Linked DNA regions of Alligator mississippiensis. Each later gene encodes a partner of the first gene's protein in a complex. Links are inferred from orthologs where the notes say so. Each region holds a gene or a part of one and is shown on either strand. Other genes may lie near its edges. The genes, in order: CLSPN and CHEK1.

The links.
Region 2: the proteins of CLSPN (region 1) and CHEK1 are in contact, whole or in part, in a crystal structure (PDB 7AKO), measured with the Homo sapiens proteins. The link is inferred for Alligator mississippiensis from reciprocal best matches to the Homo sapiens genes CLSPN and CHEK1. Residues at the interface, in NP_071394.2 of Homo sapiens: Glu938, Leu940, Leu941, Leu943, Cys944, Ser945, Gly946; in NP_001107593.1 of Homo sapiens: Lys53, Lys54, Cys57, Met61, Arg129, Thr153, Val154, Phe155, Arg156, Tyr157, Asn158, Arg160, Glu161, Arg162.

Annotation. Positions count from the first base shown.
Region 1 is NC_081829.1:8,911,489-8,928,232, reverse strand, and holds the start of CLSPN (claspin), read left to right. Parts: upstream 1-8,806; 5' UTR 8,807-8,876; coding exon 8,877-8,897; intron 8,898-9,767; coding exon 9,768-9,903; intron 9,904-11,975; coding exon 11,976-12,442; intron 12,443-13,410; coding exon 13,411-13,578; intron 13,579-13,919; coding exon 13,920-14,009; intron 14,010-14,280; coding exon 14,281-14,353; intron 14,354-14,947; coding exon 14,948-15,056; intron 15,057-15,919; coding exon 15,920-16,476; intron 16,477-16,744.
Region 2 is NC_081839.1:21,782,179-21,798,217, reverse strand, and holds the start of CHEK1 (serine/threonine-protein kinase Chk1), read left to right. Parts: upstream 1-6,999; 5' UTR 7,000-7,100; coding exon 7,101-7,165; intron 7,166-7,521; coding exon 7,522-7,745; intron 7,746-7,781; exon of another isoform or gene 7,782-7,873; coding exon of another isoform or gene 7,874-7,931; intron 7,932-8,970; coding exon 8,971-9,035; intron 9,036-9,126; coding exon 9,127-9,196; intron 9,197-10,151; coding exon 10,152-10,340; intron 10,341-11,862; coding exon 11,863-11,967; intron 11,968-16,039. UniProt on the Homo sapiens protein: Serine/threonine-protein kinase which is required for checkpoint-mediated cell cycle arrest and activation of DNA repair in response to the presence of DNA damage or unreplicated DNA.

The DNA.
Region 1 (16,744 bases):
GAGTAAGGAGGGAGCAGGGTGTAACAACCAGGGATCCTGGTTTTATCTGATATTTAAAAAATTCCAATTTTCGGTTAAAAAATAGTAGCCCCAAATCCACATTTTTCCATGATTAAAATGAAACATCACTATATATATTATATATATCTATATATTAGTGGTGTTTCATTTAAATTGCGGAAAAATATGGATTTGGGGTTACTTTTTTTAACAGAAAATTTGGGATTTTTTTAAGTTGGAGAAAACCAGGATCCCTGGCAATGACGTTACTGCTCTACATGCAGTCCACTGCCTTCTGCTGGGCAGAATTGGATCTGCTCTGCCATGTGTCATAAGCTCGACATTTGCAAACCGACATTTCCTTCTGGGAGCATACTCCTTTCCCAGCTGCCACTGTTCAGTTCCCTTTGGCCAGGAGATGCTACCTACTAACAAATGGGAAGCCTTAATTGGCCACAACAACATTATTTACAGACTTTTTAAGTGTTTCTCTCTAGCTGCGCTTACATCACAATCTTAGCTGCTAAATTGCTCCTTTCTGGTAAAGTCACATCTAAAAATTGTGGATCTGCAGATTTGAGAGACAAATGAAGAAGTTATTGGAATGTGGGCAGGCAATGTTCATTGAGTAGATGTGGTATGTTTTATCAGACCAACTGAGTAGTTGGGGGAAAAAAAAGTTATTTCAAGCTTTTGAGCGCAATCACCCTTCTCCAGGCATAGGGAGTCTCTGCTGGTCTGAGACGCCAAGGAATGTGTTATTGGAATGTGACCATTTGGAGTTAGATTTGGAACAAATCTGGTCATTAAGCAATATTCTTGTCCATGTGAAAGGCCTAGACACGGGGTGTCAAAAAGAAGGCTCACAGACTGTACATGGAGTCACTGTATCCAGGCTGCCAGGCTATAGACAGATCAGCGGGAGTTGGCAAGTGTGGCCAGCGGGGGTTGTCTGCCACAGAGTCTGGGGCTGTTGGGCCCTGGTGGACATGGCAATTAGTGGCAGGATGGCGATTAAAGGCTAAAACAGCCCTTGTTGCCCGCTGGCCACTTCATCTGTCCCCACTGCTGCAGCCCCAGTTCCTTGGCAGCTGGCCCTGTTGCCACTGGCACTACATGACTTGTGCCCCACGTCAGAGGGGGAGACAGCTGTTGCCACCACGTACTCTGTGCTAGAGCCAGAGCTGCCACCCTGGCTTGAAACATGAGTCAGTGGCAATAGCTTCAGCTCCAGCCCAGGGCACGTGGTGAAAGCTGGACCTGCCACATTCATGTGAACCATGCCCTGTGCTTGAGCCAGAGCTGTTGCCACTGCAGCTTTGTGCCAGAGCCAGTGCTCTGGCATGAAATGTGTTAGCAGCAGCAGTTCCAGCTTTGGCAAGGGGTGCATGGCACATGGTGGGAGCTGGAGCCACCACTGCCACATGCACTGGGCAGAAACTGGAATAGATGCCATTGCTGCCACTGCCAGCACCACTGCCTCCCAAGCCACCCCATGCCCTGGGCTGGATCCAGCTCACAAGGAGCCCTACAGTTCAGATCCAGCATGGGCCAGGAGGTGAGTTTGACACCCCTCACCTAGAACAGTAACTGTGGAAAACCCCATCTTTGGCTTCACAGCATTATTGATTCTACATGCTTGTTTTTTGAACGGTACATGGCCAGACAACGTTTCTCTCTCGATTACCTTCTTGACTGTATAAAGTATCATTATGGAATATGGAGGCTCTTGAGACCAGACAAGACAAGCTGCTTTTGGCAGCATGCTCTTAGCTTGCTACGCCAATAAAGAAAGAGCATTACATCTGTTGCAGCTGGATTGAACATGCCTATGGGTCTCAGCTTTGCTCATCTGCTCAAATGTATTGTCAGAGCCACTGGCAAGCTGTGCTTTGCTGGCTTTAATGTTCACTGTAAACGGTGGGAAAAATTTATCACATACATGACTTGATTTTCAGATTAAATATAGGGTTCACTTTAATTGCCTTCTGGTTTTTAAACCTGTCATGTTTGCATTTTCAGTCTCCACCATTGCGACAGCCAGAAGCCTACATTAAAATCTAAAGAAAACTGAGATTCTTATGAAATTACCTGACACCAAGAGGGGGCGGGCTTTAAGGAAAACATTGAATATCACAAGACTGGCAATAAAATTGTGACAGCTGGCAATGGTTTTATGCTTATTATTTAGCATTGGTGTGTTATCCTAAAACAGCGCTATACTTTACAAAGAACAGAGATACAGCTCCAGTCCCAAGGCTTGTATACTTTGCTGGATCCTGCAAAGTATGGTACACTCTGGTCACAGTCCAACAAAGCACTTATATCTGTACCTAACCTAAGCACGAGTCGTTCTAGCAAAGTCAACAAGCTTGTTCCCATGCTAAACTATAAGACTAGGTTCAGGCATCTTGCTGGGCTGATGCCAGAGCGCTCAGGCTCTTTGAAGATTTGGGTCCATAGGCCTAATATGAAAAATGCCTACTCATGTGAGAAAGAGTTGTCAAGGCTGGAGCATAGCTTAGGCATGACATGACACCAAGAAACGGGCATTATGCCGAGAGTGCCTGTTTCAACAGCCGCCCACACATTAGAGCGGCAAGGCAGTTTGTTATTTAAGAGAGTGAATTTTAAAACTAACAATGTATTTTCTTTTAAATTATGAAAGTGTTCAAAATTATTCCTCAACTAGTATTGAAGCAAGTTAGAAATAAGCTTACAGTCTCCTTACAGTGGCCTGTCTACTCATAGTATTAAGAACTGTTACATTTTGGATATAGGATGTTTCTTAGGTACCTGTTGGAATGAACAGAACCTTGCGTTGGCAAGGGCCTCTACCTGGTAGAGGAGTCTGGACAGGGCAAGGTGGGTGAGGATCACCCCACTTTGGTTTGCTGCCATAGGCAGTGAGCTCTGAGCTTCCTGCCCAGTCAGTGTGGGGTCACAGAATGATAGAAAATGAGGGTTGGAGGGGACCCCAAGGGGTCATCTAGTCCAACCCCCTGCTCAAAGCAGGACCAGCCCCAACTAGATCATCCCAGCCAAGGCTTTGTGTAGCTGGGTCTTAAAAACTTTGAAGGATGGAGATTCCACCACCTCTCCGGGTAACCTGTTCCAGTGCTTCACCACTCTTTTAGTGAGAAAGTTTAGGTTGGATATTAAGAAAAGTTGAAAGAGCCTGCTGCAACTTGAGACCGTTGCTCCTTGTTTTTCCATCTGCCACCACTGAGAACGGTCTAGCTCAGGGGTGAGCAATTATTTTGGTTGGTGGGTCACTTGACATGTTTTGGTGAGCTGTTGAAGGCTGTGCACACAAAATCTTTCAGAAGATATTTTAACAAATGATAGATAAAAAACAAATTGTATATTAAAAATTGAACATTTACTATGACATATTTTTATTTAAAAATATTTTTAGTCCTGATTTATGTTTTGTTGAGTGGTATATATAGAGGCAATTGCATAATAGCTCAAAATAGTCTTACTGTTTATATTGTGTGTGTGTGTGTGTGGGAAGTGGGGTGCAAGTGTGTGGGGGGTCTGCCTATGCACTAGGTCCCCAGACCTGGCCAGGGCAGTGGGGAGGGAGGGAGGGAGGAGGGAAAGGGGATGCATGCAGCAGAGCTCACCTAGGCAGTGCAGCGCAGTGCAGGGGCAAGTGCGGTTCACTCCTTCCCTTCGTCCCCATTCAGTCCACGATTGCCCTTCCTGTTCCCACCAGAGTCAGACTGTGCCACGCTCCCACCTGCCCCAGCCCTGGCCAGTGCACACAACTTCCCAGCAGGGCTGCCTTCCACCCACTTGGCCACCCCCAGATGGCTGCTCATCATGCCAGGTGGCTGAGTGGGTGGAAAGCAACCAGGAGTTGGAGCTGGAGCCCCACATGCTGGGGCAGGAGCTGCCCAGCTGCAGCCTCCCCCTGCCTGGCTTGGCATGTGCTGCCTGACATGCCACCTGGTCCTAGAGCAGCATAGCAGGGGAAGGAGGAAGAGCTGCTGGAGGTGCGTGGAGTCGAGTACTACCAGGGCAGCTGCTAAGAAGCTGTGCATACTGGCTGGGGCAGTGCCGTCAGCGGGTGCAGGGTGTGTGCAGGCTGGAGTGCAGTGCGGACTGGTTCCAATGGTGCTTGGCCCCATGAGCAGCTTCACGGCCATATTTTGCCCACCCCTGGTCTAGCTCCATCCTCTTTGTAACCACCCTTCAGGTAGATGAAGACTGTTATTACTCCCCTCCCACCCCCCATCTTCTTTTCTCCAGGCTAAATAAGCCCAGTTCCCTCTGCTTCTCAAGAAGTTATTTTCCCCAGCCCCCTAACCCTCCTCTGGGCCCTCTCCATTTGTCCACGTCCTTTCTGTAGTGGGGGACCCAAAACTGGACACAGTACTCCAGATGTGGCCTCACCAGTACCAAATAGAGAGGAACTGTCACTTCCCTTGATCATCTGGCAACACGCTTACTAATGCAGCCCAGTATGCCATTAGCCTTCTTGGCAACAAGGGCACACTGCTGGCTCATATTCAGCTTATTGTCCACTGTAACCCCCAGGTCCTTTTCTGCAGAGCTGCTACTTAGTCAGCGGTCCCCAGCCTGTCCCAGAGCTCTGTATGATCCAGATATTCTGGGGACGATGTGGCTGGAATTTGTGCTTTCAGGTGGCTCTGGACTCCAGAGGGTGGATGCTGCGGTTTTTCTGCCTTCTCCTCCTATCAGAAAATGAATTCAGAGCAGGGGAAAGGAGGGGACAAGCATGGAACTGTTCACCCCTGATTCCAGAGCAGTGTGAAAATAGGGTCTTTGGGCAGACACCATTCTGAGAGCTCACATGCAACATGTGCAAAGGGGGATGCAACCATGTTGTTGCACCCCCTCTGGATCCACCTCTGCATCTAACACAGGGGTGGGCAAAATGCAGCCCGTGGGTCAGATGTGGCCCACCAGGTTTTTCTATCCCACCTACAGGGCCCCTAAAAATTGAGAAACTGAGTATTTATCTGCCCCTGGCTGCCTGTCATGCGGCCCTCGATGGCTTGCCAAAACTCAGTAAGCGTCCCTCTGCCTGAAATAATTGCCCGACCCTGATCTAACAGCTCATCTGCTCCATTCTTTTATTTTCAAATACACTTCACATTTTAGGTTTCTTCCACGATGGTATGAGCTTTCAGACTGAGCAGCTAAGTGCCCTTTCCTTTTCCACCCCATGACCTTTTTTAAAATCTAAAACAAAAAGTTTTGGCTGGCTAGCGATTGCTATTTTGTATCTTCCCTTGTTGCTGTTTAAGACCCAATCCCATTGTATGCATCGTTTTCACAACAAGCTTGTTGTGACTCCCAGGCTCTTTCAACATACCAAAGCAGCTCTATGTTTGACTGTAAATGGACTTCAGCATTTGTTAACATGTTTCTTTTGGCAGTGTCTATCCAGAAAAATCCCAGACTCCCAGGAATCTGTGATCTGCAGTGTCGCCTCCCTTAATCTGTGTTGCCATCTAGCAGTTGAAGAGTTTAGTAGCAACAGAAGCCAAACTGTCATGTATCAAGGATAATAGCAGCAGGCAAAGCGTTCCGCTTGGCTCGGTCCCTTCTATATAGGCAGCCCTGAAACATGAGGTTGAGTAGAAAAGGGACAGACTGACTTTCCTGCAAGCACCAGCAGGTCTATTTTTCTTCCCTGTTTGTATTTACACAGCATGCCAAAAGAACTCAAAGTCCTTTATTAATTCACAGACTTGCTTGCCCTCTTTTTCAAAAGCACTTTAAAGTCTACAGATGAAAAATGCTACACAGTAAAGGAGCTGAGTATCATTACTCATTATTCCATCTGACACTAAAATACAGCGACTGCTGGTTCCCCATTTCTCCCTGGAACACTTATTTAGCCTTGCATTACTTGGTAAACAACATCTTCAAGATACTTTGCTCACTGGAGGTTTTTCTAACGCCAGGATCTAGCTTCTCCATTCCTGCAGAGTCACAATGCCGCTCCAGGAAATTATAACTGCACTGTGAGGTCTGAGCGACTCTGTGAACCATTGCTTTCTCTGTAGAATAAAGCTATTTCATTTAAATACAAGTTAAAAAAATGCGATGCAAAGTTTTAGATTAATGGTGCACCTTCCCCCACCAGCTCAGCATGATGTGCTCAACACCTTGTTTGGCTCTGTGGTGGCTTTATGATGCAGAACAACATGTAGCAAGAGCGAGGAAGGCAGCAGACATCCCCGCAGGAGAAGTACCATTTTATTTTAATATTCTGTAAAATTTTATGCGTTTGTGTTAAGCCACAGTGGAGTCAAAACTGCAGGCCTGGTAGCCCCTGCTGAGGCAACAAAGGCTGCCAAGTTTCAAGGAGACAGGTGCAGGGGGTTTAGAGAAACTGCACCCCAAAATCCTGAAAGCAAAACTTGTGTCACACGTATGTGTTAAGCCACAGCAGGGTCAAAACTGTGGACATGCTAGCCCCTGCGGAGGCCACAAAGCCTGCTAAGTTTCAAGGAGATAGGTGTAGGGTTTTGGGGAAACTTCACCTCAAGCTACTGACAGGCAAAACTCGTGACATGGGTGACACTGTGTGTGTTAAGGCGCAGCAGGATGAAAGCTGCAGGGATGGTGGCCCCTGCTGTGGCCACGATGCCTGCCAGCTGTCAAGGAGATTGGTGCAGGGGCTTCTGGGTTCTGAGGCCCTGCACCTCTGGCCACAGGCAGGCAAAACTCATGACATGGGTGCTCGTGCAACTGTGTCTGTCTTTGGAGGAGGGGGAACCACTGCAGGCCTGGCTGCTAGGCCCTGCTGCGGCCACAAAGCCTGCCAGCTGTCAAGGAGATCGGTACAGGGGGGTTCTGGGGCCCTGCACCCCTAGCTGCTGACAGGCAAAACTCGTGACATGGGTGCTTGTGCAACTGCTGCCGCTCATCAGGCAGCAGGACTGAAGATCCCCCCATCACTTGTCACCAAGACCCGGGGGTAATAATTGACCATAGTATGAACATGAGCCAGCAGTATGCTGCTGTAGCCAGCAGGGCCAACAGTATGCCGGCATGCATCAATTGATGCATCTCCAGCAAAACCATTGCAAAGAAGTGATTCTCCTGCTCTACTTGGCTCTTCTCAGCACTGGTGAGATCACAGCTGGAGGACTGTGTCCAGCTCTGGGCTTCACACCTTAACAAGGACATGGTAAAGCTTGAGAGAGTCCAGAAAAGGGCCACTCACATGATCAGAGACTTGCACGGCAAGCCACACAAGAAAGGCTGAGGGACCTGGGACTCTTCAGGCTGAAAAAGAAGGCTCAGAGGGGACTTGGTAACAGCTTACCGCAACGTCAGAAGTGTACATCTAGGGCTCGGTGAACAAACTAGGAGTAATGGTCACAAACTCCTGGAAGATAGTTACAGGCTCAACATTAGGAAAAACTACTTCACAACTAGGGTGTCCAGACTGACCATTACTCCTAGTTTTCCCCAAGGGTGCCCTGGTGAACAGTTGTTCACTGAGCCCTAGATGTACGCCCCAGAAGCCATGACCCCTGCACTGATCTCCTTGACAGCTGGCAGGCTTCATGGCCGCAGCAGGGGCTACCACCCCTGCAGCTTTCACCCTGCTGTGCTTTAACACACACAGTGACACCCGTGTCACGAGTTTTGCTTATTCGCAGCTTGAGGTGCAGTTTCCCCCAAAGCCCTGCACCTATCTCCTTGAAAGCCGGCAGGCTTGGTGGCCTCAGTAAGAGCTACCACCCTTGCAGTTTTCACCCCGCTGTGGCTTAACACGTACATGTGACACAAGTTTGGTTCTCAAGACTTTGGGGTGCAGTTTCTCTGACCCCCTGCACCTATCTTCTTGAAACTTGGCACACTTCACACCCTCAGAAGGGGCTACCATTCCTGCAAGTTTCATCCAAATCAGGCCAGAAATGACAAAGTTATAGCCTGTTTCAACCTTCCCTATTATCGCCTCATTTTATTTCGAGGCTGTTTCGACCATATCCATTCCGTTTCGATTTTGCTAGCGTTGAAACAAAACCGGTGGTGAAATGTCGCGCAGCCCTACGTAAATCCATTTTGACTCGGGCAGCGAGACTACACTCGATCCGAGCCCACAAGCGGCCGAGCAGAAGCACCATGACAGCGGGGGGCTCAGTTTAATCTCCAACCCAGTGGCTTGAACAGCCTCTGGGTCCCCCGGTGACCCAGCTCCTCTCCAAGGTGTCCTGCGGCACCCGCAACACGACGTTGATCCGAGCAAGTTCAGGCTCTGTCGGGCGGCGCGGATGAAACACCAGCTACGACAGCAGGATGAATGTCCAGCTCCAGCAGGACGTGGCAGGCTTGGTCTCCGGCCTTGCTTTGAGTACGAGGCACAGCATGCGCCAGTCAAATGCAGCGCAATGCAAACAAATATTTTATCAGGTCATTTGCTCAGGTCAAGTTAGGGCACTTGTACAGGGCACTCTGGGAATGCCCCCCACAAGGGGCACAGCCTGGCAGGTCTCCCTGGGCCCTGCTCCAGGCCAGTCCCAGCTGCTCCCCTGCAGAACGACCCTGCCAATGCCTAGGGCCAAGATCATAGAGTCCCCAGCTAGAGCGGCCCGCGCTGGGGACCGCTGTCTCCACAGAGCAGACGAAAGCCAACAGCGGGAGAGGATTGGCGGCGGCGCGGAGACATCCTGTTAAGACGGAACTCGTATTGGGCAGCTGAGAGGAGGGGGCGGGGTTTACCGAGCTAACGGCCCAATGAGGCGATCTGAGGGGGCGGGGCCTCAAGGGAGGAGCGAGCGGTGATTGGCTCCGGCTGGGAGGCGGGATCAGCCCCAGGCAGAGCGCGAAGAATCGAAGCGGCTTTCCTGGCGGGCGGCGGGACAGCGGGGTCGAGCAGCGCCATGGCGGCGGCAGCGCCTGAGGTAGGCCTGCTTTGCTCCGCCGGCTGGTAGTGGGAGTCGCCGCCCGCCCCGCGGGCCCCTCCCGGGAGGCCGTCTCGGGACGCGAAGCAGCCGCTGCGGCTCGTAACTCCCGCGCCCTGAAGAGGACTACGTTTCCCAACATGCGCCTCGGTGCTGCCCCAGTGCATGCTGGGAGCGCTCTCCGCGGGGCATGCTGGGAAGCATCCCTGGTTGGGCACTGCCCTGGGGCTACCTGGTGCCCTTGGTTGTACTTGAGTGGGCTCACCTGTGCTGGATGGGGCCAGGGAGGTGGGATGCTGATCTCTCCAGTACCCTGCCCTTTTCCCCTTGCGCAGAGCAATGAAGAACGTTTTGTTACTCAACTGCGAGGATGCTGCTTTTTGTGAAGTTTCGTAAAGTATTTTTCTGGCACGTGAAAGTTGCGAGTTTCTGGCTAGTTTCAAGCTGTGGCCACCAGACAGTGTCCAGGACAATACTTGTTTTTTGCTTTGATACGAACTAAGAATTTCACAAGGGAACTGTACAGTAGTGGAAATGACATAGCATATAGTAATTTTTGTTTGAATGTCTGAAACCCAAATCAATCTTATGACTATAGTATCAACGAGTAATTGATGGCCATGAGGGTGGTCAGACATCGGAACAGGCTACCTAGAGAAGTGGGAGCCCCATCCCTGGATACTTTCAAGAGCAGGTTGGGCAAACCTTGGCTGGGATTGTTTAGCCAGGGATGATTGTGGCTGGACTAGATGACCTTGGGAGGTCCTTGCTTTCCCATGACTATAATTTGGGATGACACTGAGGTCAATGAACTATTTGAATTTAAATAGCTCATGCTGTATGAAAATAAACTTTCTTCTTGGCTTTTAGCTTTGCTTAGGTGTAGAGGAGCTAAAACCTGACTTGCAGAAAGCTTATGACGGCGATTCTGACAGCGGACAGGGCAGCTGTGAAACAAGTTCTCCAGGACATTCCAACAAGGAAGTTGCGTCTCTTGATGACAGAGGTCTGTAATACAAAGAGATCTCTATGGCTAGATGTGAGGTTTTTCTCTTCCCCCTAAATATTGGGATTGTTCTTTGTACTTTATAGTTTTACCTTTGCGGAAGGTTGAGAGAACATGGTCCTGTACTTTATGTTAGAAGTAATGTTTCTTTTGAAACTGTTCACCAGGGCACCCCAAAGAAAGGCAAGGTCTAATGGTTACAAAGTGCTGGAAGACCGTTTTAGACTGGACATAAGGAAAAACTTCTTTATCGTCCGAGTATCCAGAGTCTGGAATAGACTCCCCCAGAAGTGGTGCAAGCACCTACTCTGGATACCTTTAAGAAACGCTTGGATGCCTATCTTGCTGGGGTGATCTGACCCCAGCACCTTGGGCAGGGGGCCAGACCCAATGATCTCGCGAGGTCCCTTCCAGCCCCAATGTCTATGAAATATTTTCCATGCTATCTGTATGAATTATTTTTTCCTTGTTGGGTTATAAAGATGTGGCATATGTAATGGTTGACATATTTCACTGTCAAGAGTATGTAATGCACACTTATCTCTGGCATTAACAGAAGTCACTATTCATGCATGAATCCAGACTTTTAATTCTGAAATATTTATTAATTTAACTTCAGGACAGTTATTACAAATTATACAGTCAAATGCAGTTTTCTAGCTATTACATGAGAAGATATCTTGCAGCCACCATTTGCAGTCTGACATTGCATTGTGCTTACCGGTTCATTGAAAATGAACCACAGCTATGTACGATATAGCTTGAGAGAGCCACACCAACTGTATACGAACCATCACAATGCATTAACATATACAGATACATATGGTTTGAATTCAGAGTGCCTTTGTTGTTCAGGATGTGGGTAGAGATCTGTAAATGGTAAAAAGGTGGTAGTTGTGGTTGAGAAAGGGAAATGGGGATGGGGTTTTGAATATCTTAATTGCTTTATTTCCTTGCCTTTTATGAGTTGCATAGTTAACCCAGGTGAATCTGACTCCTTTAACTTGTGTGTGTGTGTGTGTGTGTATTTTGGTGAGAGGGGAGTTAGTTCTAAGTTTATGAAGTTCTAGTCTGGCTGAATTGAAACGCTTCTGGGACGGGGAAACAAGAATATAGAGCTTGTACCTTGAGAGCAGAATTTGTCTGTAGACATACCATTAACAAGTTCTAAATTTCCTGATGCCCCCTTGAATACCCTGAGCACAGTAGATATCTGTGATCATGCTTTTTACAATTTTCACTTTTGGATAAAAGTTATAGTGTAGATTAATCATGGTTTAAAGTTAGAGCTCAGTGCTGTTTCCCTTTTCTTGTGTGCTTGGATGGGGAAGTGACAGGATAAAATGGGATCCTGAAAATACATTGTGTTGCGTGTCAACATATGAAGTAGTAGGATGAATCAGTTTCCTCCTGATCTTAAACCTGAATTTTGTAAACCATAATATGCCTAAAATTTTCATGCCAGCCTCATTAGTAGCTTTAAGTATGGGGCTGCAGGGCTTTTACATAGAAAACATAAGCTAAAATTACATTTAAGTAATTCTATTTTCTGTCACTGAAATGCAGTTAAGGTTGCTGCTACACTGCAGCGGATTGTTCTCCCTGTACTTTTTTGGCATTTTGGACTCGAAGTCAAATAGAAGAAGATCAAGAAGTGCTCCATTAAGGTTTTTCTATATATCCTGAAAAAGAACATTTGTGTTGCGGGAAAAAAGATAAAGGAAATCATGCATTTACAAAGAGCAGTTAGAATAGGAATGCATGTTGTTATTTAACTATCATATAGTAGAAAAAGCAGTTTTCACATTGGCTTTTATTGAACCGCTCTGTATAGAACAGCATGAATGTTTGCAGGATTGGGACCATGGCATGTCCATTATAGTTTTCTTTCAGTATGTTACTATTTGCTTTGGTTACGTAAGAGACAGGCTACATAAAACACAGGAATGTCACTAATTAGTTTGGGAATGGAGAACAGTGTCTGGCATAGTATGTCATTTGGTAACGGACCTATGAATTTTTATAAACAATCTGTGATCTATGGTATAAAGAATGCTCTATGTTTCTACCAGATTCAGAGGAAGAGATTTTTGTAAGTAAAAAATCTAAAAGCAAACAGGTGCTTCAGGACAGTGAGAGTGAAGGGGAAGAGAGAGGCTGCTCCCTTGAGAAGACGGACACTGTAGCTGAAGATGTTAAGAGCGGGGAGGAAAAAGAGCATCTTATTGCCCGAAAGAACAAAAAACATCGGATTCGCCAGGCTCTGCTGGACAGTGACGAGAGTGATATTGGTGACACATTAGATCACAAAAACCTTGAAATAGATGAGCAGTCTGATGCGACTCAGAATGAGCTGGATTTGGGTTCACAGGTGGCGACTTTGCCAACATCTCCGAAACAATACAAAAAACACAAAAGTAATTTTGAGGGTGAAACGGGCAAAAAAGCAATGGGGAAATCGAGGAGGAGGAGGATGGAAAAAGAAAAAAAAATGGAGGCTATTAGAGAACTGAAGAAAGAAAAGAAACGGAAACAAAAGGTATAAATGTTTGGAGAAACATTTGATATTTTTAGTCCGGTTAAATACAGTTGAAGCATTTGGTGATGGTAATTAAAAACCTCTAATGAAATTTGTGTACTCACAACCCACTAGCAGTTTGGACTTCCACAAGAGTCTACAGACAGGATACCACCAACCTAATTGGCATTTTAAAGTATCAGTCCTTAAGGTGGGCTTGCCAATCTAGAGGCAGCCCAACACATAGCTGGGATGATAATGGTTCAGCTTGTTTCAAAACATGAATTGTTTTAGTTCCTGATACAACAGGGCTTGTGGCCTTGGCTTGATGTAAGGTATGAAATCTATCAAACCCATTCATCTGTGGAGCCAAGCTACTATCATGCCATCCTTGGAAAGAGGATGTGGGTTGTGCTTGACATCAGAGCCCTGTTCTCACTGAGCATCTGGTAGGAGGTGTTGGTAAGCCTCCCCTGGGCATAAGCCAACTCATGACTGCTAGGTTACAAGTACAAATTTATCCATGGGCCTGTTGTTGACAATTTAGGGATTTTTTTTCCCATTCCAAGGCATTAGGCATCTGTTTCCACCAAACTGATCATAGCTGCCTTCCATAGCAATCAAATGATTATGCTGTAACAAGTAATGGCAGCAAATTAACACTTAAGAAATGCTGTTTTGTGGGCAAATATTGTTAACTATGCACAATTGTCAAATCTATGGTCTGTGCAGGACTCTATGAGCCCTGGTGAGTTTTACATAATTCTTTTCCTGTCTCTCCTGATTGCAGAAGTTGAGAACCTGCATTGGCCTAATTTTGTAATATAAAGACTTGACTACAGAATTTATTTGAAAGTTACTTATTTTTTTGTCTGAATGATGGGATGGGATTTTTATCAATTATCCTGAAATTGTAAAGATGTCTTTCAAATATTTGTAAGTGAGCTTCTGAAGTAATAATGTTTTTAAATGTTGCTTTTTTTACTCAGCAGGAAGATAATGGTGAGAAAAATTCTATTAATGATAGTGGGTGTCTTCTTGCTGACAAAGAACTCTTTGATAATGATTTAGAGGAAGAAAATGATTCCCATCCTGAAGATGAAGAGTCACTAGAATCAATAAGAGCTGCAGTGAAAGGCAAAGTGAAAAAACATAAGGTAACTTAATTTATTCTTGTACCTTAGCGCATATATCAATCTTTTGTTGACACTGATGCCATTCCACTTCTACATGAAGAAAATAGCCCCTAATGTCTTGTTTCTAGGGGTGTAGGAACAGAAATGCCTTCTTTAAGCACTAATGTCATAGGAGGTGCCAAAAAGAATATTGTTGTGGAGGCAGTTGAAGAATTTGCAGTATAATGTTTATATCTGTTTCTGAAAATGCTTGCAGATGGAAATTCACAACGATGATACAGAAAATCATTGCACAACATTATTGCATTTTGCTTTTGACAGCTCCTCGCTATGCAGTGAAATTAATCAATCCATTTTTATAGGGTAAGAATTTGTTTTCTGAAGATCAAAATTACAAACATGTATTTGATGATGAGAATGAGGAACCCACATTGAAAAGAGCTAAGAGAAAGGTAAAATATTTCTTTAGGCTTCTTAGTTCCTTTTAATTCTCACTAGTCCATAATACTAATTTTATGTGAAGGTGTTACTTGGTGCTCAAGAACGGAATCAGTGTGATGAGCATATTTTAAAGATTTATTTCTGTTTTCTTGTGTTTCCCTGCTGCTTAAAAAGTGTGTGTGTGGGGAGGGGGGAACCTTTTGAAAAACTTTTTCAAAAACATTGTTTTGAACTTGTAGAACTACGCCTATATTCAGTCCTGTGTTTTCTTCTCTCTCTCAGGAGCGGAAGGCAGCAAGGTTAAGTAAAGAAGCCATGAAACAACTGCATAGTGAGAGCCAGAGACTTGTAAGAGGTAAAACCTGAACCACTTGTGTTAAATGTAAGATGAAATTTCCTTAGGAAGGCAACAGAAAAGGAGTGTCAATCAAAGCAGTGGACTTTGTTCTTGCTTGATATGTGGTATTCAGAATTTAAATTAGATAAGCTGCAAAGCTGTTTCTCCTGAGATTATATCAAAATACGCATTTCACTGCAAGCATGATTTCTTTCTGGAAACTACAACTTGTCTTTAAACAACTTTGGAAGTCTCTCTTGGAGACTTCTTTTTAAAGTTTAAATCTGGACTAGAAGTAACTGACTTCATGTGTATTGGGCACTTAGTTATACCAAGTAATTAGAATGGGTCTTGTTCTTCTGTTACTGGTAGCTCAGTCCACTTTATTCTGAGTTCTTGGGTATGTTGCAGGCCTTATTCTTCAGGGCAGTTTGTGGGTGTTTGGATAGAGGTCCAACAGCTACATGTTTTATATATTGGAGTTAAGCTCTGCTCTTCATGTCTAGCTGGATCTCTTAGTTGCAAAATACTTGTGCCAGGCTCATCTGAATATTTGAGAAAATGCCTGCCGCTTCAGTACGTGACTAAAATGACTCTTATTTCCTTTGGTAGAATCATGTCTGTCGCTCCCATATTATGTGCCTGAAACCAAAACCATACATGAGTTCTTCAAGCGTAGACCTAGACCAGCTTGTCAGGGAAATGCTATGGCATTGCTGAAGTAAGGAACTCTTCTGTCTCATGTTGTCTTGTATGTCCGGTTCTTGATTTGCTTAAGTAATTTACTTCGTATGTAGTTTCTGTTTCAGTTTATAATCATGTATTGCTATCGGGGCACCTGCAGCAACTACTTTCATGCAAAATTAGGGATTTCCTTGATATTCCTTGAGTATCATTTTAATGTAGTGTAATAGCTGAAAAATAAGAAGTGATTCACAGACCAGAAGTCTGGGATGTGGGGATTAGCAGTGGTCTGAAGACCATAGTTTGAGAGCCAAAGTTCGAAGTGGCTGATCTGCTAGTTTTGTATATAATGACAGAATATTTCCCCTAACTGGGTTTATTTGCTACATAATCTATAAAGAAGTAAAACTTGAAAGCAATGTGCTGTCATTAGTCCAGTCTGAATTTTTTGTGAAGGTATCCCATGCTGTCCTTCAAATCCAAATTTATAGCTATGGTTTAAAACTCATTGCCCTATGCAAAGTCAAATTTTATTTGAGAAGGTTTTTAATAATGCTGTGTACTTAAACCTTGTTCAAAATATAATACCTTTTTTCCCTTTAAATAAACCTAGAACAAAAGAATCATGTATTAATTATTAAATAACTAAAGACTGGGCATTTAAAATCTTCATGTCCTGCTTCCCGCAACCACTCTAACTGGCATTGTAGAAACGACCTAGTTTTTTCATGTAACTAAGTGCAGCATTATACGCAGACATAGAAATTACCACTGTTCCTTTCTCTTGTTTGGTTTAGTCTTTTCCCCCCTCATCCTTCCCCTACCCTCCCATCTCATGCCAGTCAAGCTAAGGATGAGAAAGTGTATGTTGGGTTACGACTCGCTTTCTGCTCTTTATAGGTCTACTAAGTATCAACCCTGCCTAAATGAAGAAAGTGCAGACACTGAGACCTCAAGTGTGAATATCAAAGACACTTGGACAGAGGCTGGTCAAGCAACAGCTAGGGAGCTGGAAACAGGACTCGATGAGAATATTGACACCTTTGCGGATAAACCCTCCACAGATGTGGAGGAGAATCTGAGAGAAGATTGTAATGAAAAGCACAGGCAGGATGGTGCCTTGGATACTCTTAAGAGCCTAACAACTGCTGTTAATTCAGAAGAGCAGGTTTCTGACTTGCAGAGTAGTCAATGTAGGGAGCAAATGGAGAGTGAACTTTCCTTGGCATCTGAAGCAAGTGCCCTTGAACAAAGAGAGGACCAGCTGCAAAAAACAGGTGTAGAATGTGACAAGCCTGTTCAACAGGTGGCTTCAGTAGTAATGGCACAGCCTGAAAAAGTAAGGAAGTCCAAGCTGGATAAACTTCGGGAGCTGGGAGTCGACCTATCTGTCAAACCAAGACTCTGTTCTGACAAGGATTCCTTTATTAACCTTGACGAGCCTGAATCAAACAAAGGTACTGCATTACCTGTTGCTAGATCCGAGAAGCTAAGCAAGGTCAAATCGGCACTTTAGAAGGCAGACCTCTGGGAACAGCTAGATGTTAGCAGTTCAGAAAGGGGAGATACTTCCTTCTGAGCAGAACTTAGGTTTCTGCTTTGTGCTGGTGTTGGCATTTTCTTTTAGATGAGATGTAAAACAGAAGGCCTGATACCTTATGGTGCTTAAAAAAACCCATGAAACTCTTATTAAGAAGTGTAGTGACATTTTGTTTACTACAGATC
Region 2 (16,039 bases), on another chromosome or scaffold:
CTGGTGGACACTAAACAATGGTGTTTAGTTGAGTCTTCTTCAAACCAGCTGGAGAGCACATTGGGGTTAATACCTAAACCTGGTAAGTCATTGCAGTTAAAAACCAGGAAGTATTGTGGGGTATGTTCATACTGTTAGGAAGTGACTTCAATTGTAGTGAATAGTCAACTGTCTGTATATTTAAGTTACTTAATTTATATGAAAATAGTTGATTCCGAACAGGACCTTCATGTGTAGATTTTTTGGAAGAGGCTTTGAATGAATCTTTTGCTTGAGCAGCTGACATATTCTTAGTCAGAAGGCCTGGCACAGTTTTGATGCAAGGTTCACAAATTAGTCTTATTTTTATTCTGCAAAACAAGAGGGACTAACCCCTCTATATGAAAACTAAGCTGCACCTACCAGTAATTTAATTTGCACCCATTCTGGAGAAATATTCTGGTCCTATTGTACGGACCTACCTAAATTGCGACAGAAGTTTACAGTACGGTGATGCCTTTAATCTCTCTTTGCTGTGCCACACCCCGTCCCTACCCTCTCCTGCTGAGTGGCCAAGGGGCAATTAATGCCATGTTTTTTGCCTCTTGGCCATTCAACAGTGGGATGGGGAGGGGGTGCACGGCAAAAAGAGCAAGATTTAAGGCACTGCTGGGCCATGGACGACTGCTGCAATTTAAGTAGGCACCTTGCCTGTTGATTTCAGTTGTTGCAAAAAAAAAAAAAAAAATTCACGGGGGAGGGCAGGTTGTGATCAGATGTATGCCTGGTTTTCCTTCAGTGTTTCTTTGAGGAGGAAAAAGATTTCCAAGTGAATGAAAGGATAAAGATTATGAAGAGAGGTGGATGCTGAATACTAAGGCTATGATTTTCCCATTTTACCCACTGGGCCCTCTACAGGCTGAGAGCTCACTGTATTGTATTGTGTTAATATTGCCTTGTTCTAGGAGGTATTAGCCACAGAAGAAAAGATCAATTCCCCTTATATTCTCATAAAGCAATATGAAAAAGGGGTAGAGCTTCAGGGTGGAGAATAAAAAGACAAGAGGCAATCCCCTTGCTTTTGTAGAACCTGCACATTGTGAGGTATAAGAAGGGGAAGGGGGCAGAATCACAGTTTTATTTGATTCTAGGCTGTAAAACTGCAACGTCACTTTGCGCAGCCCTTAATGAGGCATATGCACGTTTGGCCAAAGTGTGAAGAGGACTAAAGTCAGGATGTGCCTTGTCACTAAGCCAGGCTCTGTCAGTGTTTTCCATATGGACACTATGGCTTTGTGCAAGGCTACCTAGGCTGTACTATGACAGTGTCGTGTGCCAGGGCTAAAGCAGCCACATCGTAAGCTATTGGAAAGTTACCCATGCCCTCAGGTGTCAAAACCACACGTCTTTCTTTCCCAAGCATGACCTGGAAACTCGCTGAGTGCGGAAAAGCTCAAGTTGAACTCACTCTGAGCCTGAGCATAGAATCATAAAATGAGGGTTGGAAGGGACCTCAGGAGATCATCTAGTCCAACCCCTTGCTTAAAGCAGGCCCAGCCCCAACTAGATCATTCCAGCCAAAGCTTTGTCAAGTTGGGTCTTAAAAATCTCTAAGGGTGGAGATTCCACCATCTTTAGGTAACCTGTTCCACTGTTTCACCATCCTCCTAGAGAGAGTTTTTCCTAATATCCAACTTAAGCTTCCCTTGGTGCAACTTGAGACCATTGCTCCTTGTTCTGTTATCTGCCGCCATTGAGAACAGTCCAGCTCCATCCTCATCCTCTTCTCTGCTGCAGGTTAAATAAGCCCAGTTCCTTCAGGCTCTTCTCACAAGTCATGTGCCTAGCCCCCTAGCCATTTTCATTGCCCTCCACTGGACTTTCCAACTTGTCCACCTCCTTTCTGTAGCGGAGGGCTCAAAACTGGACACAGTACTCCAGATGTGGCCTCACCAGTGCAGAATAGACCAGAATAATTACTTTCCTCAATCTGCTGGCAACACTCTTACTAATGCAGCCTAGTATGCTGTTAGCCTTCTTGGTAACAAGGGTACACTGCTGACTCGTATTCAACTTATTGTCTGCTATAACCCCCAGGTCCTTTTTTGCAGGGCTGCAGCTTAGCTAGTTGGACCCAAGTCTGTAGTGGTTCATAGGAGCCTTCTGTCCTAAGTGCAGGACTTTGCACTTGTCCTTGTTGAACCTCCTGAAATTTCTTTTGGCCTGCTTCTCCAATTTGTCTAGGTCACTGAATCCTAGCCCTCCTCTCCAGCATATCTACTGTAGCCCTTAGCTTGGTGTCATCTGTGAACTTGCTGATGTTGCAATCCATCCCAACTTCCAGATCATTAATGAAGATATTGATCAAAACTGACCCCAGGACTGACCCCTGGAGTACTCCACTTGATGCCAACTATACATCGAGCCATTGATTGCTACCTGTTGAGCCTAATGGTCCAGCTAGCTTTCTACCCACTTGACACTTTTCATCCAACCCATGCTTCCTTGACTTGTTTTTCAAGAATGCTGTGGGAGACTGTATCAAAATCCTTGCTAAAGTCAAGGTATATCATGTCCACTGCTTTCCCTGCATCCACAGAGCCACTCATCTCATAGAAGGCATTCAGGTTGGTCAGACTTGACTTGCCCTTGGTGAATCCATGTTGATTGTTTCTGATTACTTTTTTCTCCTCTAAGTGCTTAAAAATGGATTCCTTGAGGCCTTTCTCCATGATTTTTCTGGGGACTGAAGTAAGGCTGACTGGTCTGTAGTTCCCTGGATCCTGCTTCTTCCCCTTCTTAAAGATGGGCACTCTATCTGCCAATCGTTTGGGACCTCCCCCGATCGTCACAAATTTTCAAAGATAATGGCCAGCAGCTCTGTAAACATATCAGCCAACTCCCTCAGCACTCTCAGATGTATTGCATTCAGCCCCATGAGCTTGTACGCATCTGTTTTTTCTAAATAGGTCCTAACCCATTCTTTCACCACTGGGGGCTGCTCACCTGCACCCCAAACTGTGCTGCCTGATGCAGTAGTCTGGGAGCTGACCTTACCTGTGAAGACTTGAGGAAAAAAGGGATTGAGCACTTCAGCCTTATATCATATGTCACTAGGTTACCTCCCCTATTCAGTAAGCGACCCACATGTTCCATGACCTCCCTCTTGTTGCTAACGTGCTTGTAGAAACCCTTTTTGTTACCCTTCCTGTCCCTTGTTAGCTGCAACTCCAACTGTGCTTTGGCCTTCCTGATTTTATCCCTACAAGCCCAAGCAACACTTGTACTCCTTCCTAGTCATCTGTCCAAGCTTCCACTTCTTGTAAGCTTCCTTTTTGTGTTTAGGCTCACTGAAGAGTTGCCTGCTAAGCCAAGCTGGTCGCCTGCCATATTTGCTATTCTTCCTGCAGTTCGGGGTGGTTTGTTCCTGTGCTCTCGGTGAGGTTTTCATTACAATACAACCAGCTCTCCTGGACTCCTTTCCCCCCTCAGACTGCCCCCCCCCCCCCCCCCCCCCCCATAGGATCCTGCCCATCAGTTCCCTGAGGGAGTCAAAGTCTGCTTTGAAGTCCAGGGTCCATACTCTGCTGTTCTTCCGAGCCCTCCTCTCCTTCCTTTTGTCAGGATCCTGAACTTGATTATCTTGTGGTCACCGCTGCCCAAGTTGCCATCCACTTCTGCATCCCCCACCAATTCTTCCCTGTTTGTGAGCAGCTGGTCAAAAAGATCATGGCTCTTGGTTGGTCTCTCCAACACTCGTACCAAGAAGTTGTCTCCAAAAACTTCCTGGATTACTGATGCCCTGCCATATTGCCCTCCTAGTTCCCCATGAGAACCAGGGCCTATGATCTGGAAACTTCTGCTAGTTGTCCAAAGAAAGCCTCATTTATTTCATCCTCCTGATCTGGTCATCAAAAACTTAGGGAACTGAAGTCCACTCCATGACTGGGTAGACAGGGTTCTTTAAGACTGGTTGACAGTCAGTCTAGGACTGGAGCCTCGATTGAACAAATGGACGATCTCTGTTCCAGCAGCTCCTGCGGCCCAGCTGGTTCCAAACATACTGCCGCCTGCCTCTCCTTTAGCGTAAACCAGCAAGGCTGGGAGGAGAGGGGGACGCTAGTGTGTGGACAGCTCAGTGTCTCCATATACACCGCCCAGGCTTGTGCACCTTGGAGAGATCACTTCAGCTTCACTTTATCTTAGCTTATGCAGGGGGTCGGACTCGATGATCTATTGAGGTCCCTTCCGACCCTAACATCTATGAATCTATGAATCTTTCAACCACATATTACTTTCAGCAACCTAATGTCTTGGCATAATTCTATTGTCTTGTGAGATTGGCTAATAGTTCCAAATGAATAACTTCACACGTTCACAGTGAAAAGAGATGGCAGGTGCTTATCCAAAAATCCTTATATGGGCCTATATTTCTGCCTGAGAAGACTGTTGCATGTTTAATAAGAAAAATGGATGAAAAACCATACTGTAATTCTTAATGTGGTTTAAACCCAAACCAAGTTGTCAAATAATGCCATTATGTCCCCATTCTTTCAAATAGGTTCCATGCTCATAGTGATATGTATTAAAAATTCATATTTCTATGCATGTGTATCCCTGATTAAGTTCTGTATGTTTGACTAAAGTAATGTTCCATAGTGAAAACTGTCATTTCACTTCGTCTGCCTACCCTCATTAGTAAGCAGAGGGTATAACTGTCTGAAGGGCTACTTGAGAAACAGGGCCTCCAGGGTGGGTCTCCCTACCCAGAATTTACTACTAAACCGGTACACGTGGTATAGCTCCTGGATGGCAGCCCTGGGTGAGATCCCTTCCCACGTCACTGGGCCAGGTAGTAGTTCCCCAGGTTGGTTTACTGCTAAGATTGTGATCAATTTTGAGGTACAGTTAAAGGTTAATAGTTAACATTTTGCTTAGGGTGTCCCCTTGTTCCCTTTTTCCCTTGTAATAAATCTGTTTTAATTTAACATTTGCTTGCAAATGGGCAGGTTTTGTTCATGGTAGAACACCCAGTACACATTTACTTTACCAAATTTCTGGGTTGGGGCTTGAGGTAAATTTGAAAAGTTGGTATAAAACCCCTATATTTGTATGCAGCCATTCTTACTGCTGTCTAGCACCTGGCGAAACAGCAATGTGCAGGCCTTACAGGGTGGGTATCAATTGGCAGGCTGGTACTCAAAAACCAAGCTTCAAGTTCAAGCAATGACCTGCCTAGGCTTCTTTAAGAGAGTCCCTTGGTGGTGGTGATGTGGGTTTTGGGGTGATCTAAAGTGGGTTTTGCCCCATAACTCCAGCCCAAAATAAGATATTTGTATAAAGCAATGTACCTAGCATGCAGGTACTGGCAGGTGGGTGGCAGGTGGGAGGCTGGCACTCAAACCAAACATTGGGTCGAGCATGGACTAGCTCAAGCTTCTTCTAGAGAGTCTCTGGGTGGTGAAGAGGAGTGTTTTGGGGTGCTCCAAAAAAGATTTTGCCCTATAATCCCAGCCCAAAGTCAGCTTCTTATTCACAGGAACATACATAGCACACAAATCTGGGAGGCTGTCGGTTGGCAAGCTGGTGCGCAAAAACTGAGCTGTGGGTCAGGTAGTGCTCTGCCCAGGCTTCTTCAGGGGAGTCCGCTGGTGACAGACGTGTGTTCTTGGGTGACGGGGAGAGGATTTTACCTGATATCCCCAGCCCAAATTCAGTTTCATATTCAGGGCTAGGTACAGAGGACATGGGCTTGGGGCCTCAGTTGTCAGGTTAGCACTTGCAAACTGAGCCTTGGGTCGGGCAGGCTCTACCCAGGCTTCTTCAGGAGAGTCCCCTTGAAGGCAGAGACATTTGTCTGGGGTGACTCAGAGAGGTTTTCCATCAGTAATCCCAGCCCAAACCTAGCTCCTTATTCAGGCCTGGGGGCCTGTCTAGGCAGCCTGGCACACAGAAACCAAGCTTCGGGGTGGGTAGGACTCTGCCCAGGCTCCTTGGGAGAGACCTCCTAGGGTGGGGACGTGTGTTGGGGGTGATCCAAGAAGGATTTCCACCCATTATCCTAGCCCAAACCCAGTTCCTAATTGAGGCCTGTGAGTGGGCAGCTTGGCCTGCAGAAACCCAGCTTCGGGCCGGGCAGCGCCCTGCTCAGAGCTGTCCCCTGGTGCCATAGGCGTGTTTTGTGGTGGCCCGAAAGGGATTTGCCACAGCCTAATTTCAGGGCTATGTACTTGATGCATGATATTATTTTACAGTTTTATTAGCAACTATCCATTGATGAAGTCCTGATTCTTCAGTCAGCATCATTCATGACTAACAACCTTGAACAGTGTAAGGATTCGCTTTGAAATGGGACCTGGGAACAAGTAGGGCTGCCAACTCTGCTTGAACCTATTCCGAGAGGTTTCTGGGCCGCCGCCATGCCCGCGACATGCGCCGCCCCGCATGCTGCTGTACATCGGTTACGGATGACGGCACGTGGACTTCACCTCAGGAAGGCAAACGCACCTTACTATTACGTTTTAAAAAGCCACCGGACCGCGAAGAGCGCGCGCCTTCGGAGGCTGGGAGGTGGCAGCGGTGTCGGGGGCGGTGAGTGGGGACTGCCTACGGTGTGTCAGTGTCCAGGGGCCCGTGAGCTGCCAACCTCAGGGGGCACGTGCCCCCCCCACGCGTTGCCTATGCAGTGGCCGACGGTAGAAACAGGATTTCACATGTAATATTCATTTTAATGGAGGCCCATCCCTAGGTCTCCGGGTGGCTTTCAGCGCTCTGCCGGGCACGGGTTTCTAGCTCCTGCAGACCCCGGGGTAATCCTGCAGGTTTGGCGACGCCCGAAATAAGGAACCGGCTTCGCTTCCCGCCAGCCCGGGGAGATGGAAGGGGGCGGGACCCGGCCGGGGGCGGGGCGGGGCGATGGAAGGGGCGTGGCCCTGGCCGGCCGGGGGGCGGGGCGGACGGAAGGATGCGGCGGCGGGCGCCGCCATTGGGCGGGAATCGCGGAGCGGGCGCTCGGGGTGGGGGCGGGGCTGTGCTGCGCTCCTCTCGCCGTACCGTGCCGTGCCGTGCCGGGCGGGTTGGTCTGGTCCGGTCCGGTCCGGGTCCGGGCGCCGCCGGCCGCCATGGCCGTGCCCTTCGTGGAGGACTGGGACCTGGTGCAGACGCTGGGCGAGGGCGCCTACGGAGAGTGAGCGCGGGGGCGCGCGGGCAGAGGCCGGTGTCCAGCGGGAAGCGGGCGCTGTCAGGAAGGAAGACATGAGGCGGGGCGGGGCGGGGAGCGCGGGCGGCCGGCGGTGGCTCTGCGCCGCTGACGGTGGCGGAGACAGACCCCTTGGGCTGAGGTGGGGTGTAGCCGGTCCGACCCCGCGGCCGTGTGTGTGTGTGTGGGTGTGGGTGTGGGTTCCGGCCGGGCGCTGCGCGGGGACCGTGTGTGTGTGTGTGTGTGTGTGTGTGTGTGTGGGGGGGGGTTGTGGTTCCTGCCGGGCGGGGAGGGGGGCCTGCTCGAGTTGAGGCTCATGAGGGATGTTTCTCGTTTCCCTGCAGGGTTCAGCTGGCCGTCAACAGGCGCACGGAGGAAGCCGTTGCCGTCAAAATAGTTGATATGAAACGTGCTGCCGACTGTCCAGAAAACATCAAGAAAGAAATTTGTATTAATAAGATGCTCAATCATGAAAACATCGTGAAGTTCTACGGGCACCGGCGAGAAGGCCACGTCCAGTACCTCTTCCTCGAGTACTGTCGAGGGGGGGAGCTCTTCGACAGAATAGGTAGAGCACATCGAGCGGCTTCCCGCGCCGCCCGCACGCGCCGATCTGCCTTCCCGCGCCCCCCAGCTTGCCACGCGCGGGGTGTTTAGCTGGTGTGTCCTCCTGGCAACATGTAGATCCTGCTTAGCATGAGTTTGTGCGCCTCAAGGAAGTCTCCATCGAAATTGGCAAGAATTTCTGTACACGGTTAAGTTCACATCTGTCAATTATTGCTTAATCCCACTAGAAGTTCAGCGTCATGGTTTTTCACGGGGAGAGATAATTTAAACAAGTAAACTATGCCGACTTGAGAAATTCACTCAGCTGGGATTAATAAGGCCAGTGTTTCCAGTTTCTATATATTCTGATATTTCATTTCAAAGGAAAAAAACCTAGTCCTTATGGTTGCAAAAGTCAGTCTTCTGAAAATAAACAGGGTGAAGTGAGATACAGACGTCAAGAAAATATGCTCGTATGTTAGACTTCTAGTGCCTTTGCTGCAGCTCTTGGCTTTCCACCGAACCGATGTGTCAGTCTTAATTATTACTATTTGCGTTCTAATGAGCAGCAGTAGAGCCAGAAGGAAATTGGTTTCATTCTACTGTTGGAAAGATCTGAGCAACAGTTAGGTACCAGAAATGTCGATAGTTTTTGCACAGGATAGTTTTGCGTAAGCAGAACCTGGCGACTTGTTTAGGCAGTGGTCATCAGCAACCTTTAGGCTGCAGGCTGGAGTGACCCAGTTCGGGTCAGAGGTGGGTGTAGGGGCAGCTGAAGCCACCTGCTGCTGAATCCTGCTGAAGCTTCATCGTCCTGGGCTGTCTCAGATGGCTCTGTGAGCCACAGATGCTCACCCCTGCTTGTAGATGTTGGGGGCAATATCTTGCATTAGCCAAAAGGATGGCGATATGGAGGCTTGCTTCTAAGGTTAATGGGAGCTGCCTTATTGCTTGTCTGCCCTTGGACAAGAGGTCATCCAGCTCTTGTATAGGTCTCTTGATAACTCTGCCAATTAGTTTAGTGTTAAAGCTTCTGTGCCCTTTGTGGAAGGAGGAGGAGGGAGATGAATTTGGGGGTTGAAAGCTTCTGAGGGGGGAAAGAGACGATATGGAAAGGAACAAACAAATATATTAGAGGACAGAAACATTGGCAAGATACTCTTTTCCCTATCATGTTTGTTTGTGATGCTAGAAGTGTGTGGATCTTTTTTTTTTTTGTTAAGTGGATTCTGAATGACTTTTTTCAGAGCCTGATGTAGGAATGCCTGAATCAGATGCACAGAAGTTTTTCCATCAGCTTATTGCTGGGGTGGTAAGTATTTGCCTTCTACATTTATTTAAAACTTTCATTTGGGATCATATAAATCATAAGATTCAAGATTCTCTCTCTCTTTCTTTTTAAGGTGTATCTCCATGGTATAGGTATAACCCACAGAGATATTAAGCCTGAGAATCTATTGCTAGATGACAGAGGTACGTCTAGAGCTAGTTATTTTGTTTTCCCTTTAAATTTTGGTGGTTAGGTGTACAAGGGAAGAAGAAAGTCTGTGTCTGTTGGTGAAACTGAAAACACTTCAAGCTTTCTGAGGATGCTGCAGGCTTAAGAGCAATCTAGTTGAGCAAAAGTTGATTCATGCTTCCAGGACTTGCATTCATTCCCCTGCCCACATGCAAATTTGGTAAACCTGTCTAGGTGTTCTGGAGCAGAGGCTGGTCTCTGCAGAGATGCCGGCACCTTTTCAAAGAACATTCCTATGGAAAAATGATACCTTCTTGAAAAGCTGTTTCTACAGAATTTGAGGAGTGATAGAAATGCTTCTAGGACCTTTGGGTAAAGCTTTTATTAAAACTTTTTAAAACAAAAATATTTCTTGTAGGGTCCTAGAACCAAAATATTACAGTATGGATCTAGGATCTGAGAAACTGGAATAGACTAATGATGTGGATCCTTCCTCTGCTTTGCCAGAACATTGTGTGATCAGGTTACAGTGGAAAGAAAAAATAGCTTTCCACAATTTTAATTTTAATAATCGAAGATGACATTGGGGTGGGGGAACGGACTTTTAAAAACAGCCGTCTTTCCTGGCTGTTCCTTCTAAAACAAGAAATCTCTGCGTAAACTGTTAGTATTTTTTCCTTATAACACAGCTGTGTCTGGATCAAGTGTTTTGTTTCAGGCTTCAGGTCATTTGTTCAAATTTCCTGTGGTCTATAACCAAAAAAATGAATATATCTGATCTTTATTTATATCAAGGTCCCTCTTTGCTTATCTGGCAAAATGGTGGCTTGAAGTAGATGCAAGTGGGCTCTTTAGTTTAATTTTTCTAGTTGAAATTAGTTTTAATATGTTAGACACCACTAACAAAGAAGGTGGAAAAATACCTTGCTGCTTGGTGTACTTAACTGTTGTGTGCTTCTTTTTGCTTAGATAACCTCAAAATCTCCGACTTTGGCTTGGCTACTGTGTTTAAACACAACGGTCGTGAACGATTGTTAAACAAGATGTGTGGCACTCTCCCATATGTTGCCCCAGAACTGCTAAAAAGAAAAGAATTCCATGCAGAACCAGTTGACATTTGGTCCTGTGGGATAGTACTTACTGCTATGTTGGCAGGAGGTAGGAATCGGTCATTTTCTTATCACTGTGCAACTTGTCTTCTAATGTGCATGTTTACAGCAGCTTCACAGTGCAGTAGGATTGCAGAACAAACACTTGTCATCTGCACAGATGACAGAATTAGTCCCATTCCACAGAGAAGAAGGTGGCATTTGGGAAGCAGTATGTTAGTTTTCCCTAAACTTCCATATTATAGTAAACTATTCATTATATTCTCTTATTTCCTGTAGAATCATTTTGTTTTCCTGTCTCTCTCTTGTTCTTGGTCACATGAGAGAGTACTGTTAAGGAGCTAAAAAGATGAAAACAAACCAGCTTTCCTAAGGCCACTGAAGCTGATTATTCCTCTATTTATTTATTTTTCTTGTTGCTGTCCATATCTTTGCTTTGGGTCTGTGGTTTTTGTAAATATTGTCTTTCATTGCACATAAAGCTAATTAGAATGTGTTTGCAGGTTTGCCAAAGTAATACTTGACAGATGCTTTGTCTCCACGTGGTATGAAAGAGAGGTGTGCTTAGTTTAACTGGTCCTAATGAACTCGGGACATGGGGAGGGGTATCAGTCAGTTTGTTTGTCGAGGTGTGCAATGTCCCACCATGGTCTTGAATAGGGAGCAGATTTTTATGGTGCCTAAATGTCAGTAGCAAATTCAGTAGCTACAGAGCCCAGGGGGCCCTCATTGGTTTCAAAAAAGAAAAAGGGTAGGGGTTTCTGTCTAGAACTTTTCTATAAGGTATTGTGGGATCTTTAAGAAGATCTATGGGTGAAATCGGCTTCATGCAATCTGTGATGCACTCTTGCCCTGGAGGATGGCATCCAATTCAGTAGTGGTCCTCCTGAGGGATCCTCCAGCTTGGTGATCTTTAACCAGGGTGCTACAAGATCCTTTTAAGCATGTAGAAGTTCATGCAATATTAGCACTGATATATGTAAATCACAAGACAATGCAGAGATTTCAAATAAAAATCCACAGTGTCAAAACCGTTCCATCCTTTTGTCTTCCCAAGTTCTTTACCACAGGAAAATTGCTCTATTATTTTTCCACACTTAAAATGAGTGCAAACTAAGAGCTGGCATTTTTCTAAGGGGTGCCTTGTATCTAAGGTGGTAGAGAATCACTGTATTAGCCAAAAGCTTGCTGTGTTTCACTAGCACATATCACAAAGGGGATTATAGCTCTTAGCCTTTGGGCTTATTTGGTTACGTTGCTATGTGAATTTTCCTGTGTTGCCACTGACTTGCCAATTGATGAGGTCGGATATGTTTTTAAATGGATGCCATTGTATATGTAACTATTTTGAGCAAGGGGCTGATGACTTCACAGAAGGGTCACGGGATCTCAATCTGTAACTGCATTCAGGGTAGTTTCATCTCTTCCCTTCCTTGCAAATTAATGTCCATTTATTTTAAGATCAATTTTCTTTGAAAATCCTTCCCTAGCTCTCCTAACATTTTGATTTAGAGTTATGTTCATAGGCCTATTTTTAAAAAAAAGGCATATTATGCCTTCTTTACTTGCAGAATTGCCATGGGACCAGCCTAGTAACAGTTGCCAAGAATATTGTGATTGGAAGGAAAAGAAAACATACCTTCCCCCCTGGAAGAAGATTGATTCTGTACCATTAGGTAAGTCAGCTGACTGAGTTAATGCATTTTGTTTGCATACAACAGTAGCGAGTTTAGCAGGGGAAGAAGTGTTGGCATTGTGTGATTTATATTCCAGAAAACATTCTGGCTATTCTTCCAGACATAGCCCATCTTCTCACAAGCCAGATTCTGTCACAGACTCAGAGTCTCACAGGATTAAGTCCTGGGATACCGAGTGGGTTTTGTACACACTTGTGGAGGGGTCTAGAGATGAGGTAAGATTCAACAGTAGTGTTACCTTAAGACCAAGATAATTTAGCAGTCTCTCTCCTTACTCTCTAGTAGTCATAGCAATAGGAACAAACCCACTGAAGATTAGGAACCTGATTCTCTACTGCTGGAACTCTGTGCAGTTGCTTCCTTGTGCAAAATAGGTATAAGTTGTGATAACTTCACAATCATAGGATTGGAGGGACCTCAGGGACCAATATGGTAGTCCAACCCCTTGCAGAGATGCAGAAAATGCTCTTTCTAACCTACCCCATCCAGATGCCTTTTTAGCCCCTTTTTGCAAACCTTCAATGACAAGAGTTTTCATAGCTTCCCTGGGTAGCTTCATCTATTGACCTGCTGATCTAGTAGTATTTCATATCGCGCATGCAGATGACCAGACCATTGTATAGTAGTAGGGAATTGGGGTCTAGTATCTATGTGACTGTAATAATTTCCAAAGGGATACAGAATCAAATCTAAATAGGGCTGAAAGGATCCTTACTAAGTCATCTAGTCTAGCATCCTGCTCCAGGCAAGATCATTTCTAATCCAGCCTAGAGAAATGATTGTTTGACTTGTATTTAAGAATTTCCAGTAAATGGAGATTTCACAACCTCCCTATGGGCTCTGAGTTTAAAAAGTGCTTCCTAATCTTACCTTAATCTCCCTTCTTACAATTTTAGCCTTATGCTGCTTGTTCCAATTGGATGTGGAGAGTAATTGATTGCCAACCTTTTAACTATCCTTTTTGTTTTTGAAGAATGTAAGTGAATCCTACCCCACTTCAGTCATGTTTTTAGGCTAAATTCCAGTCCTTATATCAGATTTCATAGATTTCATAGATGTTAGGGCTGGAAGGGACCTTGGAAGATCAAGTCCAGTCCCCCGCCCGAAGGGCAGGAAGTCAGCTGGGGTCATAGGATCTCAGCAAGATAAGCATCCAATTTACTTTTGAAGGTGTTCAATGTAGGTGCTTGAACCACCTCTGATGGCAGGCTATTCCAGACCTTGGGGGCTCGGACAGTAAAGAAATTCTTCCTTATGTCCTGCCTGAAACGGTCTTGCAGTAGTTTATAACCGTTCGACCTCATCATCCCTGGGGGCGCTCTGGTGAACAAACATTCCCCCAGATACTGGTGGTCACCCCTGATAAACTTATAGGTGGCCACCAGATCACCCCTGAGCCTGCACTTTTCCAGGCTAAAGAGCCCCATAGCTCTTAGCCTGTCGTCGTCAGGTCTGTTTTCCTGACCTTTGATCACATGCATGGCTTTTCTCTGGACTCTCTCAAGCTTCTCCACATCCTTTTTGAATTGTGGAGCCCAAAACTGGATGCAGTACTCCAGCTGCAGCCTCACCAAGGCCAAGCACAACGGGACAATGATGTGCCGGGATCTGCTTGAGAAGCATCTATGGATGCAAGCCAGCGTTTTGGTCGCTTTACTAGCCACAGCATCGCATTGCAGGCTCATGTTCATCTTGTGGTCGATGATGACCCCCAAGTTTCTTTCTTCCGTTGTACTAGCCAGCGTAGCACTGCCGAGCCTATAAGGGTGCTGCAGGTTTTTCCTCCCAAGGTGGAGAACCTTGCATTTTTTGGTGTTAAACACCATCAGGTTCTCGTCTGCCCACTTGCTGAGCCTGTCCAGGTCAGCCTGGATCGCCCTCCTGTCCTCAGGTGTGGATGCTTTGCCCCAAAGTTTGGTGTCATTGGCGAACTTGGCCAGTCCACTTCTGACTCCAATGTCCACATCATTAATGAAGAAGTTGAACAATATGGGTCCAAGGTCAGAGCCTTGGGGGACCCCACTGGTCACAGGGCACAACAATGATTGACTTCCATCAATCACCACCCTCTGGATCCGACCACGGAGCCAATTTCCCAGCCAGTGGATTGTGGTGGACCCAAGGCCACAATTGGCCAGTTTCGCCAAGAGGTGATCATGGGATACCAGATCGAAGGCTTTTTTGAAGTCAAGATATATGACATCAATCTCTTCTCCCTTCTCCAGGTGATAGGTCACCTGGTTGTAGAAGGAAATGAGATTGGTCAAGCAAGACCTACCCGCAACAAACCTGTGCTGGCTATCCCTCAGGATGTTGGTGTCGGCCAGTCCATTAAGGATGGCCTCTTTAATAAACTTTTCTAAGATCTTCCCTGAGAAAGAAGTCAGGCTGATGGGCTTATAGTTTGCCGGATCCGCTTTCCTCCCTTTCCTGAAGATAGGCACCACATTGGCCTTCTTCCAGTCTTTGGGCACTACACCAGAGCACCAGGAGTTCTCAAAGATCTGTGCCAGAGGCTGGGCTATGATGCTTGCCAGCTCCTTGAGTACCCTGGGGTGTAGCTTGTCAGGGCCAGCTGACTTGAAGGTATCCAGCCTCTCAAGGTGTTCCTTTACGAGGTCGGCATTGATGGAGGGCAAGGGATCTCCCTCACCCGGACCTCCCTGTCCCGTAGTGGGCTTGGGTATCCCATGGGACTGATGAAAGACCGATGCAAAGTACCCATTTAATAGGTTGACTTTATCCTGGGCGTCAGTTGTCCCATCTGGTTCAGCAGGGGTCCAATGTTGCCCTTGTTTTTCCTTTGGCTCCCCACATATCTGAAAAAGAACTTTTTATTTTACTTGATGCTCGAGGCTAGTTGGAGTTTAGTTGCAGCCTTGGCTTTCCTGGTTTGCTCCCTGCAGGACCGGACCAGTGCACAATATTCCTCCTTGGAGGTAAATCCCATCCTTTGTAGGCCTTACTTTTTAGCCTCAGGAGGTCTGCTAGATCGCTAGAGAGCCGGGGGGCTGCTGTGCCCTTTTGCTGCCTTTCCTCCAAGATGGAATAGAATTAGCTTGTGCATTGAGGGATTGCTCCCTTGAGGAGCAACCACTCTTCCTGGACTCCCCTCACCCTGGGGTTGTGGTCCCTTAATGCTTCACTGACAAGCCTCCTGAGCTTGTCAAAGTCGGCTTTCCTGAAGTCAAGGACGTCAGTGTTGCTGACTAACTTGCCAGCTTTACGGTGGATGGTGAAGGTGATCAGCTCGTGGTCGCTGTCACCCAGCTTCCCATCAGAAGGTCGCCGATTAGGTCATCCCCAGTAGCACTCGCCACCCCTCCCGCTGACAACAGCGCTGGCAGTGTCTGTGGGAGCTCCTGCTTGCTGTCTAGACTGGATTAGAAATGATCTTGCCTTGAGCAGGATGCTAGACTAGATGACTTACTAAGCAAAGTCCTGTCTATGAAGATATCTGAAAGTAGGCTGCTTTTTAAAAGTAATAATCTTGAGGCAATTTGGTCTCAGTTCCTCATAATTAGTCCCCATTTCTGCTTGCCATGTTTCTGGATCCTGGAAAGTCTGAGGGCTAATAGTCTGTGTGTCCTGAAACCTCAGTCTGAGATTTGTTTGTTTGCTTTCTCACCTCAAATCTCCCCAAATCATTTTTACAAGTATGCAGGCCTACAGGAATCTGCTAGGCTCCCTTCATAAACCCGTGTTGTACTTGAGGTTTTGCTTGCTGGTCGCAGTCTGACTGAAAAATGGATTGGCATGTGCCCACCCACAGATAAAGCTAAAAGTAATTAAAAAAAAACCCAAAAAACAACAACAACCCTGGTTTTGAATTTGGGTTAAGCCAGGGATTTCAAACTGGCAACCTCCAACCGCATGTAAACTGCTAGGTGTTATGCTGTATTTTAGTCCACAGGGCTTCTGGCTCAGCTCTAGAATCCATGGGGTGAATGCTGCTGCTGCAGCTCATGCTACACCCCTGTGCCTGCCATCAAATTTGGGGTCTTCAGTAGCTGCTAGTGGCTCAAATTGGTGGCACAGGGAAAAGGCAGGT